Sus scrofa: one gene and its partner. The protein of the gene in region 1 purifies or fractionates together with the protein of each later gene. This does not show direct contact. Links are inferred from orthologs where the notes say so. Each region holds a gene or a part of one and is shown in the gene's direction. Other genes may lie near its edges.

Region 1 (5,640 bases):
GGCCAATGGGGACCTGCCATATAACACAGAGAACCCTACCCAGTATTTTGTGATAAACTATGTGGGGAAAGAATCTGAGAAAAAATGGATGTGTGTATGTGTATAACTGAATCACTTTGTTATACAGCAGAAATTTTCACATTGTAAATCAACTCTTCAATAAAACTTTAAAAATGAAAAAAAAAGAAAAATTGGAAAATTAAATGGCAAAGAGGCTTGAAGAGAAACCTATTTCAGAATAAAAATAATAGTCGTAGAAGACAAATATTTAAAAGGAATATCAGAAGACTTGAAAAACGATTAGAGTTAAAATTTACAAAGACACCCTCTGCACATTCGGTTCGTGTCCAGAGGTAATGTTAAGTTGCAAGTTAAAGAAAGAGCCTGTAATTTAAAAAAAAAAAAAAAGTAAAATAAAATAAAATAGGAGTTCCTACTGTGGCACAGCCGGATCGGTGGCATCTCTGGAATGCTGGCACCCAGGTTCGCTTCCAGGCCTGGCACAGTGGGTTAAGGATCTGACATTGCTACAACTGTGGCTTGAATCTGATCCCTAGCCCGGAAACTTCAAATGCCATGGGGTGGCCAAAAAAAGAAAAAGAAAAATTAATAAATAAAATTAAAAAGGCTGTAAATGCCAAGAGACCCAACAAGTAGGAGGCATTAATAGCAGAAACCATGGGGAGGAAAGTAGAGAAGAGAAACAGAAACCAGAAACGGTAGAGAGGGACCCACTCTTGTTTCCCTCGTAGGTAAAGGTGTGTTTGTCGTCTTTGATGTTACCCCTGAAAGTAGGAATAAAAATGAGATGCTGGCTACCCTCTCACAGTCATCCATGACTTACCCTTTTATAATCTGTCCACATTTTTGGCTTGAACCACCTTTTAAATAAAACTTTCCATATGTTTTCATCTCACTATGAAAAGTGGAGGTTTTTTTATTTTATTATTAGTCCTAAATTGAAAGAAATTCTCATTCTTCATTTTGAAGGTCATTTTTTCATGGAAAACCTCTAAGGTGAGAAGGTTAATTTGATAGTCATGAAAATGGTCTGATCAACAGGGCAAGAGTTTCCCAAAAATTATTTCTCTGACTGGAAACCTTTGGCTGGTGAAGGCCTGGCAAATCTGAGCCACCAGCCTGTAGTGAAAAGTTCTCATGCAAATGACCAGTTAACATGCATCAGGCGTGACTTAAGAAGCTTCGGAGGCCAGCTGGAAGCTTCCTCCGCAGTATGTGAAACGTGTGAGAGCAGGACAGTCTCTGCACTTGCAAAGCCAAGCATCTGTCAGCAAGTATGTTCACTTATTTCCTGGGTGTTGGAATAAACCAATGGCTACGGCAAAGATAAATACAGGTAACGAAGGATATTTTTACTTCCTTCCAACCATGATTTCTAACAATAAAACAGTATCCCCTCAGAGTCTCAGTCCATTTATTTTTATTACCAAAGAAAATAAAATCTCTCCCGATATGAGTGCTATATGAGATTTATTAGGGAGACTGAGTAGGTAGGTGTGCTTGGAAAACAGCCTTCTCTTCCCTCAGGAAGGAGGGGTCCCAATGAAAAACATTTAGCCTTGCTTGTAAATGTCTATTTAACCAACAGTATGCAGTGAAATTTTTTTAAAAGTAGTAGAGCAGTAGAAAATGATTCTCTGACAGATGTATGTATATTGGCAACCGGAATCCAGGAACTACTCTTTTGAACCATTGTGATACAGGAAAAGTGTATCAAATCATCTAGTTCAGAGTTTCTCACACTTCATTGGACATCAGAATCAGCCCTTGTGAGTCCCACCCCCAGAGTGTGTGATTCTGTGGTTCTGGGGTGGGACACCAGAATTTGCCTTGCAAATAGATTTCCAGATCCTGCCGCTGCTGGTTTGAACCCCCACTATTGAAAATCACTAGTCTAGTATATGTTTTCTACCCTTTTTGGTAAAATATCATTCTTTTTTTATGATTAAAGTATGGTTGATTTACAGTGTTTCTTCAGTTTCTGTTGAACAGCAAAAGAAAAAAACAAAAACCTGATGCTGCTGGTCAGGTGCCTGGGGGGCTTGAGCTGCCTACTCTACCTGCTCTCCTCAGATCCCTCAGCAGACCTGGAGGGAATCTGATTTTCATGGAATGATGCTAATTGCCAAGTTGTAGATAGCACATGTAATTGTTCTTTAGTTTTGTACTTCAGGATTAGGACAAATAATGAAGGACCAACTTCTGGGTATATATTTGAAGGAAATGAAATCACTATCTGGAAGAGGTAACTGTAACCCATGTTCATTGCAGCACTATTCACAATAGCCAAGTCATTGTGTCCATTAATGAATGGATACAATGTAATTACAATAATGGAGTAATAAAGAAAATGTAATTTTTGTACACATGCACACATACATAGGTATACATAATTAATGGAATATTATTCAGCCATGAAAAAGAAAAACCCTGCCATTTGCAGCAACATGGGTGGACCTTAAGGACACTATTGAAATAAGTCAGACAGAAAAAGACAAATACTGGATGTTTTTTATTTATGTGGAATCTAAAAAAGCCAAACTCAACAAAATTTAGTGAAAATAAATAAATAAGCCAAATGCATAGAAATAGACCAGAATGGTGGTTGCCGCAGGCTGGGGAGTAGAAGAAATGGGAAAATGCTGGTCAAAAAGGGTCAAACTTCTATAAGTTCTATATATAATGTACAACATGGTGACTGGAATTGATAAGATTGTATTATATACTTTAAAGGTTTTATTTTTGTTTTTGTTTTTTGTCTTTTTAGGGCTGCACTCATGGCATATGAAAGTTCCCAGGCTAGGGGTCAAATCGGAGTTGCAGCTGCTGGCCTACACCACGACAACAGCAACATGGGATCTGAGTATATCTGTGACTACACCACAGCTCATGGCAATGCTGGAACCTTAACCTGCTGAGCAGGGCTAGGGATCAAACTTGAGTCCTCATGGAAACTAGTTGGGTTCATTACCACTGAGCCACTGAGGGAACTGCCTGTACTTGAAAGTTGTTAAGAAAATAAAGTTTAAATGTTCTTATCACCACGCACCAAAAAAAAAAAAAAAAAAAAAAAGGTAATTGCAGTAATGGAGTTAACTAACCTTCTTGTGGTAATCATTGCACAGTACTTCACAGTATGTGTATCAGACCAGCCTCCTGTATACCTGAACCTCACATGTGTTAAATGTCAGTAAGAACTCAATAAAGCCTGGGAAGAATCAGAAAAAAAATCTTAGAGTTCCCATTGTGGCTCAATGGTAATGAACCCAACTAGTATCCATGAGGACTCAGGTTCAATCCCTGGCCCTGCTCAGTGTGTTAAAGACCTAGTGTGTTGCTGTGAGCTGTGGTGTAGGTTTCAGATTTGGCTCAGATCTGGCGTTGCTGTGGCTGTGGCATAGGCCAGCAAGCGACAGCTCCGATTAGACCCCTAGCCTGGGAACTTCCATATGCTTCGGATGCAGCCCTAATAGGGGAAAAAAAAAAATCTTAAAGGGACACACACACTCACACATTCCCCCCGCCCCCCAATAATGCTTAAGACTCTAGTTTGTCATTAAAAAGGGGGCGGGAGGGGGAGGGAGAAATCAAGCTTGAAGCTTCTTTATCACTTCCCACCTGTTTTTTTTTTTTTTTCCAGATCTCAGCCATGTACTCATCAGTAAATAAACAAGGACAGTCAGGGAACAAATCGGGACAGTCACTTAAAGCACTGGAATCCACCTACACCTCCATCCAAGTGGCTGCTCAGAGGTCGCCCTCCTCCTGTAACGACCTCTATGCTACAGTTAAAGACTTTGAGAAAACCCCAAACAGCGTCAGCACACTCCCAGCAGCAGGGAGGCCCAGCGAGGAGCCGGAGCCGGATTATGAAGCAATACAGACTCTTAACAGAGAGGAAGAAAAGGCCGCCCCGGAGACCAGCAGTCACCGCAGCCTTTGCCCAAAGGAGAATGACTACGAGAGCATCGGGGACTTGCAGCAAAGCCGGGACATCACCAGGCTCTAGCAGCCAGACTGGAGGATGGCTCAGCCAGCGTAGGACCAGCTGTCGGGGACAGTGCCGCTGCAGAAAAGAAGCGACGTCAGCCACTCCTTATATGCTGCTTTAGGAAACGGAAACGATTGGAGACTCCAGAGCTGCTTGTCAGTTTGGGGAACAGTGAAGGTACATACCCTGCTGCCAGGCCCTGGCACACCCCAGCACACTGCCCTTCCCGCCCCCGCTCCTTCTGGAAGGATCTCAGCTGTCAGCAGCCTCGCCCTGTTCATGAAGGAACCTTTGCAGTGCGGAAGAAGGGCTCTCATCACAAACCACAGCTCACCTCCCTGAAACACTGCCATTCTCCGGAGCTGGGGTTCCCTTTTGGCTCTCTGCTCCTAATGGTAAAATGAATGGCTTTTTCCCCCCCTGGAAATCTGATTTATAATGGTTCTCTCCAAGGATGTTCTCCCGCAAGGCTGGGCCTTGGCCTTCAGCACAGGTGTTTGACAGTGGTGAGAAACTGCGGTTGTGGTTTGTCAGCTCCCCGCCCCCCTCAAAGGGCTGCAGCTGGGAATCGGAGCCCAGCGGCTGGGGGCTGCGATGGGGGGGACACCGCTTGAGTTCCTTCGCGCTTCATTCCTTCTGATTTTGGCACTCCATGTGTGCAGCCTCTCCCAGAGTACTTGAAGTCATTTTTAGATGCTTTATTTTATTTTTATAGTCAAAATGTTTTGGTCCCCCTGTATTTGAAAGCCTTCAGAGCCTTTTCAGTATTTTCAGTGAATACTATGGTACTTCTGTACTTGTTTTAGCCCAGAGCTCACTGCTCCAAAACAGAGAGCCTTAATCTCTATCTTGGGACACAGACCACACATTTGGCTGGCAGCCACTGCATCCATCTCCCCAGGGCTTTGGACTTGAATGTGTACTTCTGATGATCTCTGCTGCCACACCAAAACGGAGTGGAATTTCCTAAAGGAACTGCTACCCTAAGGTAATCTATCTGAGATTAAAATATAAACATTTATTTTTCTTACATAAATTTATAAGGTATTTTATGTTTAACGCCTAATTTCTAGAAAGTGCCAGATAAAAATGTATATTAACTACTTTGATTTTTATGTACAATGATTTATATTGTCATTTTGAAAAGACACCATAAAGCACATAAGCTGGATAATTTCAAGTGGCTGTTACCTTTTTTCTTACCAAGTGTTTAAAACATGGAAAGTTTTTAAAGACTCAGTTTTTCAAATGGTACTTGGAGCCTCCTGGTCAAAATCGTCTGGCTCCCTGAAGAAATAAGTGGAGTAAACATAAATGATGATTTTCAGTGGTTTGTGGTGGGCAATATTGAAATGTTTGAAACAGTAAAAATGGAAAGAGGAACAGGGATGACTAGGGCTGACTGTGAATGTTTAACCTCATGAAGGTATTATAATTCCATTAAGTTTGAGCCACGTTTTTAAGAAAAAGATGATGAATTCTGCAGCCCAGTGCTTGCAAATGTAAATTGCCTATTGGGAATTTTTTCTTTCCCTTCATTTTACAAAAATTCATGGCTGAAATCACTCAGATTAAGAGCTCAGCCTGGTTTGAATTGAATCATCTCTTTAGATTTTCTAAAGCCAACA
Region 2 (6,111 bases), on another chromosome or scaffold:
TTAATCTGGAATGACTTACACATAAATGTGTTCCAGCTTTGGTGAGCTCAGCTCAAGCAGCACGCGGCTCAATTCCAGACGTTTCCATCCTTAGGAACTAACATGTAATTCAATAAGTATTTATTGAAACATGCAGTAAACGTGGGCTTCTGTGACCCCAGTGAGCAGTGCTCAGAATAGCACTCCCGAGAGTCTCCATATCTGATGTGGCACCCCCATTTTGGTTGGCAAGGTATGATAGAAAAACTGGCTCTTTCATTCCCCTCCACCACCTCAAGTCCTTTCCCATCGTGCACCAGCTGTGCCTTCCCCAGTGAGTACGTGTAATTTTACATGATGTCATGTGTTTCTTAGTTGGTTCTTTGGTCCCCAGTGGGCCACTTTTCAGAGTTTTGGCAGGGACAGTCATTGCATGTTCTCTCTCCCCACTGTCAGCTTGACAGGGTCTTACAGGGTATTGTATTCCAAAGTGGGATCATTTAACCAACTTACCTTCTATTTTTGAATCTTCTTCACTTCTCACACATACCGATAGATTCAAAAACACAGGGCATACTGCCGATAAAAAGCTCCTGGAAGAAGGGTTGGCCTTGACGCAGAGAGAAAGAAAAGGTGAAAGAAAAACAGTACATTAGGGAATCTTCACTTAGTTGCGTGCTCTTTTTTTAAGCACCTACTGTGCACCAGGCACCAGCAATATACCTATGACAAAAAATGGACTGGGCCCTGCTTTCCCAGCGCTCCCAGTCTATTGGGCATTAAGACAAGTGAACCCGCCATGTTTCAACATGGCGAGATAGGGGCTGTAATAAGGGAACTCAAGATGCTGTGGGAGCACCTAGGAAGGGCTCCACCCCAGCCTGGGGGATGTCAGGGGCTTTGTAGAGAAAGCAGTGTCTAGACCAAGATATGAGGGATATTGTATATCAAAGCGGGGAATGTGTTCAAAGCCACATCCTGAGGACTAAAGTCTGGTGGGAAGAATAGACCTTTGAAGAGTTGAGAAGTTCGACATGTTTGGATAATAAAGTGTGAGACAGGAAGAGTCAGACATCAACAAAGAGGAGCCAGTAAGGACACTTTTCAGGATTCTGACTTGAACGCATGGGCCATTGGTGGTGCCCCATTTACTGAGATGGGCGCAAAACACGTAGATTTGGTCTCAAGGAGGGTGGGGTGACAGTGATTCAAGTTTTAATTCACCACTAATTCTAGAACATGAGAAAGATTTTTTTTAATGTTTCTGAAAGATGTCAAAAGCTAATGGAAATTAGGAAAATTAATTAGCAGGTTTAAATGATTTTGTTACTCTAGGCTATCATGACAGCCTGCACACATACTCAGACCTCTTAGTTTCTGCCAGTTGTTATTTCTTCATCCAGCAATCATTTCTTTATTGATACTTCATCTGATTGCTTAAAATTTATCAAACGTGTGCCTGAAGAATGAGTCTCCATGGATGCAGGGCAGTGAGCTGTTGAGGGGCCGTATTCCAGCTTTCCCAGTACTCCTGGACCCTCTTCTGTAGATTTCCTTTGCCAGGTGCAGGAGGCACTGAGCCTATGGCATAGGCTCGGTTTTGAGAGCAAACACTATTTTTTAAAATGACTAGAGAAAAGCGTAATAGGTTAGTTATTAAGGACTAATGAGTGGGCTGTCTTTAGGCAGATGTGTGACGTTCCAGAATTGTAAGTAAGGGTGCAGACCTCTGAAGAAAGATGCTGCTCTGTGAACATGGCTGATCCCATCACTGGGAGCCTGTGGGGAATGACTGATTGTCCAGGGCACTGAGATTGCTTCCGACCCTCAACCCTTGCCACTGCTTTTCATGCTGCTCTAGGTCTGAAATACCCAACGGTGAGCTGTGTAAATGATTCCTCTTTAATCATCAAGCAACCCAGCCAAGAGGGAGCGTCCAGGTTCATGGGGTCTTTTTTGTTTGTTTTCACCAGGAATTTAGATAATGGGCTGTGTGCAATGTAAGGATAAAGAAGCAACAAAACTGACGGAGGAGCGGGATGGCAGCCTGAACCAGAGCTCCGGCTTCCGCTATGGCACAGACCCCACTCCTCAGCACTACCCCAGCTTCGGCGTGACCTCCATCCCAAACTACAACAACTTCCATGCAGCCGGGGGCCAAGGACTCACCGTCTTCGGGGGCGTGAGCTCTTCGTCTCACACTGGGACCTTGCGTACGAGAGGAGGAACAGGTCAGAACCCAGCTGCCCCTTAAGTCTTCTGGCGGTTGAACATTTGTGTTCCTTTGATGAGGGACTCAATGTTTTATGTTTTCAGTCATTCTCCAGCCTCTGCCAGATAAGGGGCTGTTAAAAAAGCCAGAGCCAAGGGGAAAGGGGGAGAAAGTGGGATGGACAGGGAGTTTGGGGTTGGTCAATGCAAAGGATTACATTTAGAATGGATAAGCAATGAGGTCCTGCTGTACAGCACAGGGAACTCTATCCAGTCTCCTAGGATAGACCGTGATGGAAGATAACGTGAAAAAAGAGTGTATATATATATGACTGAGTCACTTTGCTGTATAGCAACAAGTGATGCAACAGTGTAAATCAACTATACGCTAATAAAAAAGAAAAAAATCTAACCCTCCGCCCAAAAAAGCCAGAGCTCAGTGTACAAATCTTGATGCTGGCAACAGTAGTGTGGGGGCCCCCAGTTGCTGCCCTCTGAGATCCTTCGAGGTTACGGGAGAAAACCTGCTGCTGAGGCCCTTGAGGCCAGTGGTGGTGCGCCTTGGCTGGCTGCCTCCAAATAACTGAGCGGCTTTTCCAAAATGCAGATGCCTGAGTCCCAACCCCAGGGCTTTGGAATCAGAGGTCCTGGGACTGTATCTGAGCGTGGATGTTCTGAGTTCTCCAGACAAATGCACTTCTTCCCTGAATCCCACCCCCACCCGCCGTCCCATTCAGAGCATTTCAGGGTGGTGCTCTGCCTCTCCGCTTCCTAACTCCCAGCCTGCCCATCCCTCCAGAGTCCTGGGGCCATTTGGCCATGTTGTCCTTCGGCTGTTCACCTTCATGGGTTCTCTGCTCTTCCCATCATCTTCCACATGACTGACTTTATCAGCCCCATTTTTCATGTATCTTTTTTGTATTTTAAAATCAAATCTAATGTATCCTTAAGGGATCTTCTGTCTCTCTCTTTTTTTTCTTTTAAGATTTCCTTCTCTCTCCCAAGGCTGTGTTTCACTGCCATGTGCATTTGCTGACTTAGCTAATACTTTGGAAACTCTCTGGCATGTGTTCTCAGACATATGTTTTCTGAAATATTTGTAAGTTATCTCATGCATCCTTAGTCTTCCAGATCCTCTCCCAGTATGTGAACCATGGTAACTAGATGTTTGACATTATTTGTTCCAAAATTGGTGTATTTATTACAAAAGTTTTTAAAAATATACATCAACCCTTATGCTCTCAGCTTGTGTGGGAGCAGATGTCCTCCATAACGACCCATTGTGCCTTTTTAGCTGGGGAGTTGCCACTACTGAGTCCTCAGCAATGGTTTTCTTCCTCTACACCCAACAGAGCCGTGTGGTTCTGTCAAGGGGACCTGACCCACAGCTTCAGGCATTTCACTACTTCTGTTCTGCCAGCACATCACATACTGCTTGGGAGAAAAAATGTTTATGTTCATCCTTGCATCCTGGTGCATTATGCATCCAGCTGTCCCTATAAAGCAGGCCTGAAGGGTGGCAGGGTGACTGAGGCCTGGACACCCTTCCTCCTCATCCTTCCAGCCTTCCTGGGAGGCACCTGGGCTGAAGGGCTGAAGGAAAGAGGCGGCCCAGCAGTCTAGGGACGTTTGTCTCTGGAGGATGCAGGAGGGGAAAAAAGCCAGAAATGCACCCAGACCACACTGTGCCTGTTGGGAGAAAACAAGTGCTTTGCCAGCCAGACTCCGATTCTGCTGACACAGGCACTGACCTTGTGCGTTCATGCACAAATGCTCGACATGAATCCTGTGTCTGCAGGTATTGTTCATAAAGTCACTAGAGAGGACTCCTCGGTTGAACGTGGGTCTGTAACACAGTCAGGGACAATGTTCGTACAAGAGGGCATCTGATTCCTTAGAACGTGTGAAAGCCGAAACAAGACCCCCCCAAATGCTGGTGGATGTTTCTGCCTGGGTTATTTGGCTTGAACACATGTGCATGCCTTTCTCCTTCATGCTGTTTTCAGTGCTTTAAGGCCAGGAGCAGTGTCTGTGTCTCCCTGCAGCCTCCTTTGCCTCCCCCTCCAGCCCTAGAGGATAAAAACCCCCAGTGAGGACCTGCTGGCTGCTGCAGGGAGACGTGGGCGAGGGCTGGTATTGTCCGCATGCCCCTTGTCTTCCACACCACGGGGCTTGGAATTGTTTTTAGATTCTGAACTGAAGGGTGTCTGTTCACAGTGTGTTCATGAGGATGGGCATGGCCTCACAGGCTCCCATTCTGTTTTCAGCCAGAATCTTTTTTAATCTTTCAAAGAAATCTCTGAAAGGTTTTGCATTTTTGTCAAACAAGCCCTGCCGCCCTGCACGGTCAGACCTTCTGCGTGCCAGCCCTCCGCAGGAAGGCCCACTTGGGGTTGGGGGGCGCAAGCCCTGCTTCCCCCTCCAGGTCTGGAACAGTCCCTGGGCACATCCGTTCCCTTGGAGCTCCCAACGTAGCAGAACGGGAGCTTGATGAAGAGCAGAACCCACAGCAGGCGTTCTTCAGCCACATGAGGCACTTCGGGGTGCAGGGAGATCAAAGTGAGAAGCCAGAACGTAGAAAAATGGGGTGTATTCGTTATTAATGGCTGCACAACAAACAATCACAAAGCGTAGCAGCTTCAAAAGGAAAACACATCTATTACCCTGCCGTTCGTGTGGGTCTGAGGTCCAGGGATGACTCGGCAGGTTTCTCTGTTTCAGAAGCTCTCCCAGGCCGCAGTCAAGGTGCGTTGGCCAGGCTGCAGTCCTCTTACTGTTCCTCTGAGAAGGATCTGCTGCCAGGTTCATGGGGTGTTTGCAGGACTCAGCTCCTCATTGGCTGCTGGCCAGAGGCCACCCTGAGTTCTTTGTCATGTGGGCCTGGCCAGCCTGGCAGTTTGCTTCATCAGTGTGATCAAGCCCAAGCAGCAGTGCAGAAGAGTCTGGCGGAAGACAGAAGTCACCGTCTTTGGAAGTGGAAGCCTATCCCTTGCAGGACATCCCGTCACCTGTGCCACGTTCTCTTGGTTAGAGGCAAATTACCGTGTTCAGCCCACACTTGAGTGAAGGGATCCTGGGAGGTGGATGTCACCAAGGGCTGTCTTAGAATTCCGCCGATGACATGGAGCAAGTCCTAGGCCAGGCAGGGCACTGGATATTCCTCACTGTCGATAGCAAACCTCTGCACAGCAGGACCGGCCTCTATGAGGCATCTGACAGATGAGAAGTCACAGGGAAGGTCTGAGGAAGGGCAAGGACTGTGATTCAGCACGAGGAGGGGCACGTTCAAGGTGGAAAGAGAGAGGGAGACCCAACGCAAGAGCAGGTGCAACGGCAAGACTCCTCTGACTGCACTGAGCGTTTACGGAGAGGGGCTTCTCAGCACCCAGGCTACAGAAGAGTTTCCTGTTACATCCTACATCCTGTCATGCCAAGGGAAAGAGTGGTCCATCTTACCCAGACCTGATGGGGGCCCCTGCACAGAGACCGTGTGTGGGATAAAGGGTGTCTAATTGCTGCCTAGCTCTGTAAATCTCAACTACCATGTGGCTGCTGCTCCTCGGGCGTGGCCATGATATTGACGTCTGTCTCTTCCCGAGGACTCACCCAAGTGTACAGAGACTAAAGCCTCAACTCCAGGCTTTAGTTGGATCACATACGCTTCCCCTGCAAAGACCAAGGCATAAACCCAGCCCCGGGACTCTGGTTTCACACATTCATTACAACACTGCCTCATGTTATCAGTGCTGATTAGATGTAAATTCGGCAAAGGAGCTTTTAGCGAAGATTTAATTTCTTGGAATTAATTTCCCCTGGTGTAATAACCTCTCCCCTTTTGCTTTTGCTTTTGCTTTTGTCAGGAGTGACGCTGTTTGTGGCCCTTTACGATTATGAAGCCCGGACGGAAGATGACCTGAGTTT

What was found.
Region 2: the proteins of PAG1 (region 1) and FYN purify together in Homo sapiens (co-immunoprecipitation; 3 studies listed by BioGRID and IntAct, with this or other methods). This does not show direct contact. The link is inferred for Sus scrofa from reciprocal best matches to the Homo sapiens genes PAG1 and FYN.

What each region holds. Positions count from the first base shown.
Region 1 is NC_010446.5:55,607,112-55,612,751, forward strand, and holds part of PAG1 (phosphoprotein associated with glycosphingolipid-enriched microdomains 1), read left to right. Parts: intron 1-3,661; coding exon 3,662-4,030; 3' UTR 4,031-5,640. UniProt on the Homo sapiens protein: Negatively regulates TCR (T-cell antigen receptor)-mediated signaling in T-cells and FCER1 (high affinity immunoglobulin epsilon receptor)-mediated signaling in mast cells.
Region 2 is NC_010443.5:77,638,195-77,644,305, reverse strand, and holds the start of FYN (tyrosine-protein kinase Fyn), read left to right. Parts: upstream 1-1,963; coding exon 1,964-2,210; intron 2,211-6,050; coding exon 6,051-6,111. UniProt on the Homo sapiens protein: Non-receptor tyrosine-protein kinase that plays a role in many biological processes including regulation of cell growth and survival, cell adhesion, integrin-mediated signaling, cytoskeletal remodeling, cell motility, immune response and axon guidance.